Linked DNA regions of Arabidopsis thaliana. The protein of the gene in region 2 interacts with the protein of the main gene of each other region in a pairwise test. Each region holds a gene or a part of one and is shown on either strand. Other genes may lie near its edges. The genes, in order: AT2G17540 and TRB1.

What was found.
Region 1: the proteins of TRB1 (region 2) and AT2G17540 interact in a two-hybrid assay, tested with the Arabidopsis thaliana proteins (one large-scale study listed by BioGRID).

The regions. Positions count from the first base shown.
Region 1 is NC_003071.7:7,629,785-7,633,713, forward strand, and holds AT2G17540 (uncharacterized protein), read right to left. Parts: upstream 2,143-3,929; 5' UTR 1,960-2,142; intron 1,764-1,959; exon of another isoform or gene 1,749-1,763; 5' UTR 1,706-1,748; coding exon 878-1,705; 3' UTR 577-877; downstream 1-576.
Region 2 is NC_003070.9:18,493,422-18,499,132, forward strand, and holds TRB1 (telomere repeat binding factor 1), read right to left. Parts: upstream 3,898-5,711; 5' UTR 3,708-3,897; exon of another isoform or gene 3,501-3,707; intron 3,330-3,500; 5' UTR 3,293-3,329; coding exon 3,143-3,292; intron 3,039-3,142; coding exon 2,830-3,038; intron 2,448-2,829; coding exon 2,363-2,447; intron 1,761-2,362; coding exon 1,677-1,760; intron 1,501-1,676; coding exon 1,141-1,500; intron 1,033-1,140; coding exon 1,018-1,032; 3' UTR 650-1,017; downstream 1-649. Other genes in the region: AT1G49960 (Xanthine/uracil permease family protein), read left to right, coding at 5,279-5,369, 5,690-5,711. UniProt on the Arabidopsis thaliana protein: Binds preferentially double-stranded telomeric repeats.

The DNA.
Region 1 (3,929 bases), on a different chromosome or scaffold from region 2:
AGGATAAAAGATCAAGATGAGCTCTAATGGCTACATGTGATAGTGAGAGTCGAAGACCTCAAAGAACCTGAATGAATACGAAAATTCTGTTTCTTTTAAATCACATAAACGGCTGTTTAATTTGGAAGATTTCTTCACTTTCAATAACAAGTCTACCAATAACCAATAGATATAAGATTTATGAATCACTACAAAACAAAATCATGAACCAATAGATATCATCATCTTATTGACACCCAAGGATTAACACTAACAAAAATGTAATTATCTAAACAATCTAAATGGCAAGATGGGTTTCACTTCACATGTGAACGTGACGGTGACGGATCATTTTTGTTGTGGGTTGCTTTGTCTTTAGACATTTGCAAAAGGAAAAAAATTGTGACGTTATATCTCCTCCAACTACGAATATTCACGTGAATCTGCACGTGACCCAGTTGTAGCCACACAATCAAAAATCAAAAAAAAAACTTTTTGTTATTGTAATTAGTGAAAATTCTCTTCTTGAAATTAATATAGATCTTATTGAAATTATTATTTTTATTTAAACAACACAAAGAAAGAACACAAGTATTTTCGAAGATAAATTAGTCTTAGCACTGGGAGAAAAATGACTTAAAACAAAAGAAACATAAAGGCAAACAACAAAAAGTCATCACTTTAATAACAACACTTACACTGATTAAACAACCAACATACATATACAAAATCTATGTATCTAGATATTATTCCCAAAATATACAACATAAAATCAAACACATTACCCAAAAAAGCAAAACAAGATAAAAATAAACAACATTAAGATTGTACTGAAAATGACAATGCTGTTGAATCTGCACCTTCTTACCTCTTTTAGGTGTAAATACATATAAGAAGACTATGAACGTACAACTTTGTTCTGCTTCACACATTCCGGTGACTTTAAGTCCTGACACTTCCATGATGGTCGTTCTATAACCTGAGCCACACCACCATTATAACCTTCCGACTTACTTACACTTAGATTGTTTTCCTCTAATGTGATACCGTTTTCTTGATCCTTGTAGGCACACATGCTCAAAGGGAGCTTCACTCTTCCTCTTCTTTTCCCTAATGAGCTACTCTCTTCCTCTGTTTTCTCCTTTAGCGTGTTATCGCATAAGAGCAGCTTCCCGTTTACTCTGGTTCCGTCATCTGAATCCACAACACCAGCAACATCATTCCCATCGTTCATAGTACTAGTCAGAGTCTTTTGCTTCTTGTTTCTGTGACCAGAACAATCCGTCAAGACTCTAGGAGAATTGTTTATAGCTCGAATCAACCTAGGCTCTTTACAAGAAACCGTCTCAGCTGCGGGAAAAGAAGCAAACAATTCCAACGCATTCTTGGCTGCAGCCACTGCTTTAGAAGCAATGATGGCCTTCTCATTAGCAGTAGCTCTCGCCGCCTTTGCAACCTTAACCGCTAAAGCAGCGGTTGCTTTCGACGCCTGAGCAAGCTCTTCCGGGGACCGAGTCTGGTCATTGAGTAGATGGTCGAGATGATGAGTGTGCACAACTGCTGAAGCAGAGGAACCATTTGAAGTTGTAGTAGACGAGGACGAAGAAGCGAAAGGAGGACTCGGAGATTCATTGCTGATTCTCGAGTTCTGGTTCTTGAATCCGGCGAGTAAACGCTTCCGTGGAGGTAGAAGCGAATCGGACTCAAGGCACGCATTTGTCGCCATTTATCTCGAATTAAAATCCTAAATCAGGATCACATTATAGAATCTGTAACAATCAATACTTCAAACAAAGACCAAATCCTCAAAAACATCACAGATCAAAATATTTAATCCTTAAAACCAAATTATCAACACTTGATCAAACAAATTCTCATAAAAATCATAAAGGAGAGAATTTATCAATTATAAGGTGGTGATTGATCAAAGACAATTGCTCAGAGTTTAAGAATCAAGCTAGAGAGTTCCTTATAGAGTACCTGAAATTACAAGATGAATTCACGAGGATGCTTTGAAGTTACCTTATCATCTCTCAAACAGAGATGAGAGATACAAACACAGAGAGATTGAGAGATGGAGAAATTAGGGTTTTCAGAGAAATGGGGAAGAAGATAGAGAAGAGAGGAGATTTGTTTTGTATTGTTGCCATCGCTCTCTCTGATCCGTTTTTCGTTTTTATATGTAAACCCTACGAATATCAGTTTTAATTATCTCTTAATTGTTATTTTTTTACTTCTATCTAAATTAACTTACGTTTCTTTCTTTTACATTTACCTTTTCCATGGAAAAGTAAACCAGAAAATTAACTTGACAACTACTATTTGCTTTTCGTTTTATTACTAAACTGTAATAACGGCCGTCAATAACTCTTTGTTTTTTTGTTGTTTTTTTATTTCTTAACGGAGCTAATTAATAAGTTAACAGTAGTATTACAGATGTAGACTTTCTATTTGTAGAAATTAAAAAAATGACTTCATAGATGTACTGGAGGCCTTTTTGGCAAGTTCATGGCACATTTGGTAGCAAAAGTGTTTCAAGAGGAAGCACAAACTATCATAAACTCAACCATTTTTCTTTATCAAAAAAAACAAAAAGGAGTCTGCTTACCACAAGAAAGGATCGATGGTTCGAAAACTTGACGTCAACAATCCTGCAAGAGAATTTTTCTGATGAAGTAAACCACCATAATTTATTGGAAGAAGTCTGATTTGTGTTGGCCGACTCAAGAAATGCTCTCTATCTATAGTAAGCTCCATGAGCGTATAATGAATGAACTCCCACTCTTCCACTTGCCTCTGAGTTTTACAATTCATTTTCATACGCTTCATTAGTCTCTAATTGTTTTAGGCCCATCAGCAAAAATATATACAAACAAGCCTGCAACTTCTTCTTTTTCTTGGCAACTATAAGCCGGATCATTTATGGGATTAGCATATTAAAGTCTGTGCTTTTGTAGATATAGGAACATCTCATGTTTCTTACAAATTTAGGTACTTTTATATTATATGGATGACTGTTTTATCCTTCAATCTAATTGAGTTTCTTCTCCTTGTACCTTCAATCTAATTGAGGAGAATTCATCAATATCAATCGATCTCAGAAATGTGCGATTATTTCTCTCTCTTTCTCTTTCTCTAATGGCATGGAATCTATTGCCTCTAAACTCACCATTGATGTCCATTGCTTCTCCATCACCTTACAAAATTCAGATCTATGCTTGGCCAATCTTCTTCCTCGACGATGCAGGTGGTAATCTTCCATAGCTTTTTTGAATTTGAATTGTTTGATCTGAATTAATTTCATCCTCTCTTGCTTCAATTTCAAAGAGGGATAAGAAACAATTGAAAATTTTAATCGACTCCAATTATTTAAGATTAGTATATTTGGGTTCCCTATATAATATCTTCTTAGGGTTTAGCTTTCTTCCATCAAAAAGCTTTTAACTGATTTTATTGGGGTTTATCTGAATTGTATGGTGATGAAACGTTGTTAACAGATTTTCTAATTTTTGTCTCTATCGATTTTGTTTCCGTAAATACATCTTTTGTGTATATATTGTCTTGTACAAAGAAACATTGATTAAGTAGAGAAATAGGATAATCAATCTCTGTACTTAATACATCATCCATTGAAGCAGGTTAGGAATCGATCCAATATGAGGCTCTGCAAAAACAATTCAGAGAAGATTCTGCAAAAACAATTTAGGAGAAGAAGGAGTGAAATCGCAGGGGCAATTTGGTCAATTCATTTCCCAAAAACTGCCTATCTTCATAAGCCCAATCATAATGTGCTCTTTCTCTAATTTATGGCCCAAAATGTACCCAATATTATAAAAGCCCCAGTATAAGCCCCCAATTTCTGAAAGTTTTTAAATTTGCTTTTATTTCCTAAAACTTGTCTATAAAAAAAATTTCCTGTAAAACTTTTTTAGTTTGGGACCCTAAATTTT
Region 2 (5,711 bases):
GTTTAGTAACAGCCTGAAATGTTTTTGGTTAAAGCTTAACCATGATGTAATTACCGTGCTCCGTGAACAATTTTGGATTGACTCGGTTTGGTTCTAATCCTATGTTGGCTATGCAGTGACTGTGAGTGGCATAGTATTATTTTCTTTACAGAATCACAATTATAGTAAAAATACCATGGTCTTTTTATTTTTAATATCAATGATTACAAATTATTTTAGTATGTCAAATTTCGGATGATTATATATATATCTGTCAATCACCTAATAATCCCAACTACATATATAATCGGGAGAAATTGTTAGGAATGCCCTTTCAAACTACTCCTTTTCAATTCTATCATTTTTTGTAATTTATTTTCATTTATCCCATCTTTTGATTTTTTATGGTCATTTTACTCTTATTTGAAAATATTTTAGGTTTAAAAAATATAATAATGATTTTTCCTATCAAAATTATTCCGAAGATAATTTTTCGACCAAAAAAATCCGACAAAAATTTTCCCGCCAAACTTTTTTTTCTTCCAAAAGATCATTTTCCCCAGAAAAAATAATTTTAATAGAAAATAGATTTACAAGAGTTTTTAAAAGATTTACAGGGGATTTAAAAGGATTTAATTCCTTTTCTGAACCCGAAAACGATCCATATAGTGTCCCAAAGTCATTGTGCTTTTATATCTTAAAAAAACAGTACTACTATTAATTGATAATACATACATAATCAAAATGCTCATTGGCGATAAGCATGATAGTGCATAGATAGATCGGTCTATAAATTATACACATTACTAACGATAGTTGTATGTATATTGGAGAGTGAGAAGAGCCAAATAAAACATTTTTTCCCAAAAGTTGTGCAGGAATCAAAAGAGTCAGAGCGACGACATACTGACAAACATATTTGATTGCTTACTACTAAAAAACAACTTCCCAAGTAAAGAGAATGATCAACACAAACACTAGGCTTCTCTCTACTCTCTCTTCACATTTAGTCTCCTTCTTCTCTCGCTTTCCATTACCTCAGGCACGGATCATCTGTCGAATCACATTTTCAACAAAAGCATTTTGAGATTTTCAAAGTTCTCTCATAGATATAATGTCTTGTGATATAAAAGAATATGGGTGTTTTTTTCTTTTTTTTACCATTTTGCAGATGTTTCTTCCTTTCAATGTCTTTGAAGCTTCCTCAGCGAAAGCTTGAGCTGCTTCTGCTTCGGCTTCTGCTGCCTCCGCTTCCTTTGCAGCTTCCTCAGCCTCTGCCATGGCAGCTTCTGCCTCTGCTACTGCCTGTGCTGCAACTGCTGCCGCCTCATGTACGTTCATACTCTTCATTCTGGCTATCTCTGTATCAATCTGTGACCTTGTCTGAAAATTCACTTCATCTATGTCTGTTTTAGGTGAAGGCAAAGAAGAAGTCCTCTGTTTTCCTCCAAACACCCCCAGACCTTTTCTCCTGTGGGAAGACAAGGGAGTGGAGTTTGGAATTCTGTACTTACGTTTAACCTGTAAAAGAGAAAGCCCAGATCAATAAACCTCGCAAGTTGCAGTGAATAATGGATATGTCTCTGTTCTACTGACATCCATGAACTAAATTGATTTGCACAAAAAGTCATACATACTATTCAAAAGACCAAAAATATATGCACTCAAAAGCATTAAATGAATGTAGGAATTCTTACCTTCACAAGTTTCCCGCAAGATGTCAAGTACTTTAGCTTGGTAGACAACAAGCGTTTGAAGTCTGGTGGAGCATGATATTGATCCTACACAAAAAAAAAAAAGGAACACGGGTACAGTCAGTCCTCTAAATCAGTCTTTTACAAGGAACTTAGACAAAGAATCTTCAAAGCAGTAATCGTACAAGTTGAACTCAATATTTCCCATGCTTGAATCACATAAGTAGACGAAAATATTTATGTCATTGGCGTGTTTCTGAATTAACTACAGAATCTACTCTTACGATATTCTCATAATTATATCGACTTAAGTAGATGCCACCACAATAAATCTCGTAATTACAGAAATATTTCTAGCCCTTTCAGCTTAGTTTCAGTCAGGATATTCAATGCACATTCGTCTATTCAGGAGAGGAGAAGATAAAGATGTCACCCATTGCCTTGCAATAAAACTGCCACATCCGTTGCCTATATTGATATTGAGGAATATATTCTATTGACACAACCAAAGGCTATATTTTGGTTTTCATCCGCAATGCTTCACAGGTTCTAGTTGACAACATATCAACCCACTGAGGATCATTCAAATTGAAATGTAACACGATGCGATTTAGCTGAGAGTAACAATTTAATAATACATATTGTCTATGAGAAAAGAAAAAAAAGATGCAAGAACGAAAACAGAATACCTCAATGTAGGCACCAATTGTTGTTTTGTTACAGCCACCAGGTTCTTTCAGGGTAGCTATTGCTTCCATTATAAGGCTATCCAACCTGCAACGTTTTTAAAAGTTACAATTTGTCTATAATAAAAGATTTGAGTGATACAAACATCTACGTGTAAGTGGGACTTTACAAATCCTCATCATAATTTCACAATTATAAAGCCACAGTGATAGGATTGAGCAAACGGCTCGCATGATAATAGTAAGAAGGAGGAGAAATGTACTAAGCCAGTGAAGACAACTTAAACAGAGGTGTGAAAACAAACCCATATCACATGAATGTAATCCAACACTTATCGACTTGCACAGAATAAAAAGTGACGGCAAACCATACATTTTGAGATGTAATCCAACTTCAGAAATACCAGCGAGAGAGATACAACAAAGCAACTCCTCTTCAATACAAGAAACAAAATAGACACATTTCTAACCTTACATTAGGTCTCCTTGGAGGAGGATTAGAAGAAACTTGGAGTCCAGAGGTCGCATCCACATTTTCTTCATCACTTTGCAAAGAATTGGTTAGGGCTAGTGAGTTCTCTTCCTGTTTAGGAAGGGAGAACGTCCTTTTAACAGCTAACCTAGACTTTTCGCGCGATCCCCAGCCATTTGCCATGACACTCATGTTTCTCCATTTGTCCTGTCCCAATACAATAAACAAACCATCTCCCAGTCAGATAAAATCACAAACAAAATACAGTAGCATTATCAAAGCTGACAAAAAGGATAAGAAGTAATCATGACCTTAAGATCAACATTGGAACGCAGGTACAAGACTCCGCTAAATTCAGGATCTTTGAGAATTGTGCGCCATTTACCAGGTCCATGCTTTATAACTCCAGACTTTAAAGCTGACTCTTCTTCTTGAGTCCATTTCTGCTTAGGAGCACCCATCCCGATTTACGGTCTGCTGTGTCAAAGCAAGTCCGTTCTGCAACAATACATATCAAATGTCACGAAACCAATCAGAACTAAAGTTTCTACATAAAAATGTAAACTTTTTCTTCAGTTGTAGCTCACAATTCATCATCAAATACCACAGAATAGTAAAACCCTAATTCCCTGTTCCGAGGAAACCCTAACATAGATTATCAAACTATACCGCAGCAATAGTTCAGAAACTAAGACGCAATAGCAAACACCAACTTCACATCACTGAAAGATGCCGAAACTCAAACCCTAGAAAAATCCGTTCTTTCAGAATGAAGCCTAATCTCATGCTGAGAATATACACAATCGAGAAAGAAGAAACAGATGAATTCACCAGGAATCAGAGTTTAGAGGAAGAAGAATCGATCATTCGCAATACCAATTTTTGTTTAATCTCTGGATTCAGATTTCGAGACGCTTGGGAAGCAGAAAAAGTTAGGGTTAATGCGAATACAAGGATTCAGAGTAACGGACCTCCGTCAATTCTGATGCGGCAAACCGCTTAGACCAATTAAGCTTTAAACGCGTTTTTTCACAAACGGCCTTAAAACGCGTTTTTTACAAACGGCCTTAAAACGCGTTTTTGTTTACGCTAGTTATTATATTCTGAAGATTATAAATTGTCTAAATATTTACAAATTCAACTTTTAATAATGATAAAGAAAATATCAAATTCCCCAAATGAAGTGTTAATATGATTGTCAAGAAAATATATTATCAAAACTAATACGCAGTGACCCAGATCATATTTACACGAACAATTTGGTTTATGTTTGAAAGTTTTGGTGGTGATTAAAAATTTGATGATTAAGTGGTATTTTGAACATAAAATACAAATATGTTGCTAGATATAATTCAGAAATGTGTGGTGGGGTGGTAGTTGTGATATTTTTTTTCAAAAATGCTATTTTCATTTTATCCATAGAATTTTCTCTATTGTTTATTTTTTCTGAAAATTATCTAGTTGACTGTACCACTAATTAAAAAAAAATTGTGGACATGGTAGTTGCGATATTTTGAGAGTTTTCCAAATCTATACACTTGTTTTAAACACATTAAAAAGTTTTATAATTTATTTATTTTTGAATTTCTCCAAAATTTGAAATATAAAGATCATTTCGTAAAAAAAAGAAAAGTTCGTTGAACATAGTTTTAGTTGATTTGTTTTACTAGGTTTATTTTCTGCAGATGTTCAGTAAAAAGAAAGAACCTTCTCTAATTTCACCTAGATATTTATGATTTTATAATACAAACTAATTTCATATTTGGGTTTAAATTAATAATTGTCCAAATAATTTCAAATTACAGTCAAAATAAAACATTAGCAATTAGTTCCATCCAAAATAAATTATTAAATTACCAAATTAACATTTTTAGCTCATGAGCCCAAAATTATTTATGATATGAAATATGTACTTGATAATAATTCAAGTCAGCAACAATAATTCATCAAATTTATTTCAAAATAAACCTCCTTAAATCTTTCTGGATTTTTTAACTGATAATCCTATTGTTTTATCTTATTTTCATTAAGCCAACAATAAGTCATACCAATTAGTCATTAGTTATAATTCTTGATATTGGTTAAAGAGAATGTTTAAGTGGTGGATGGAGTTAGTTGTATACTTTTTTGGCATTAAGATGAGAATAATTTGCTACTTATAAAGACTTTGTAATATTAAACATCATATTCTTCACATGAATATACAAGTGGACAATTCTGGTTAAGTCACACCAGTGGTTTAATCCGGTTCATTTTTCTACGTATAGCATTAGTGTTAATTACGTGCACGAGAACACAAGACAGAAAGTAAAAAAAGCAAGAAAGAGTCAACAAAGTTGCCCGCCTAACGATTACTTAGCACTTTTGAATCCGTTTTAAGCAAAGCCTTAGTTTGAATTTACAGCTCTCATCACAAAGAGAGTAGCCCTTCTCGAAGCGAGTGAGATATGGCAACAAAGACCGATGATTTTGCACCATTTCCAGTTAAAGATCAGCTTCCCGGAGTCGAATTTTGTGTCTCGAGCTCTCCAAATTGGCGTATGCTTTTTTCTTTTCATTTAGATTTTGTTATATAGTTGTGTTCTATTAGCAGTAAAATTATGTTTAGTCTTTAGGATAATGAATTTATGTTTCACCGATAGTGATGAACTATACGATTTAGTTTAAATTAGGGTTGTATTTCTTATTAATCTACAAAACTCGTTTTTAAAGCGTTTGTGATTATTTAACAAAAATTTCAGTTGAAGCGTTTCCATTATTCATATGAGTTATTTAGTCGATCGTCACCAAATTCTCTTTGATTTGTCAACAATATATGTTTGAGAAAATGATATGGTTTTATATGATTAATGGTGCAGCGGAAGGAATAGTTCTTGGGTT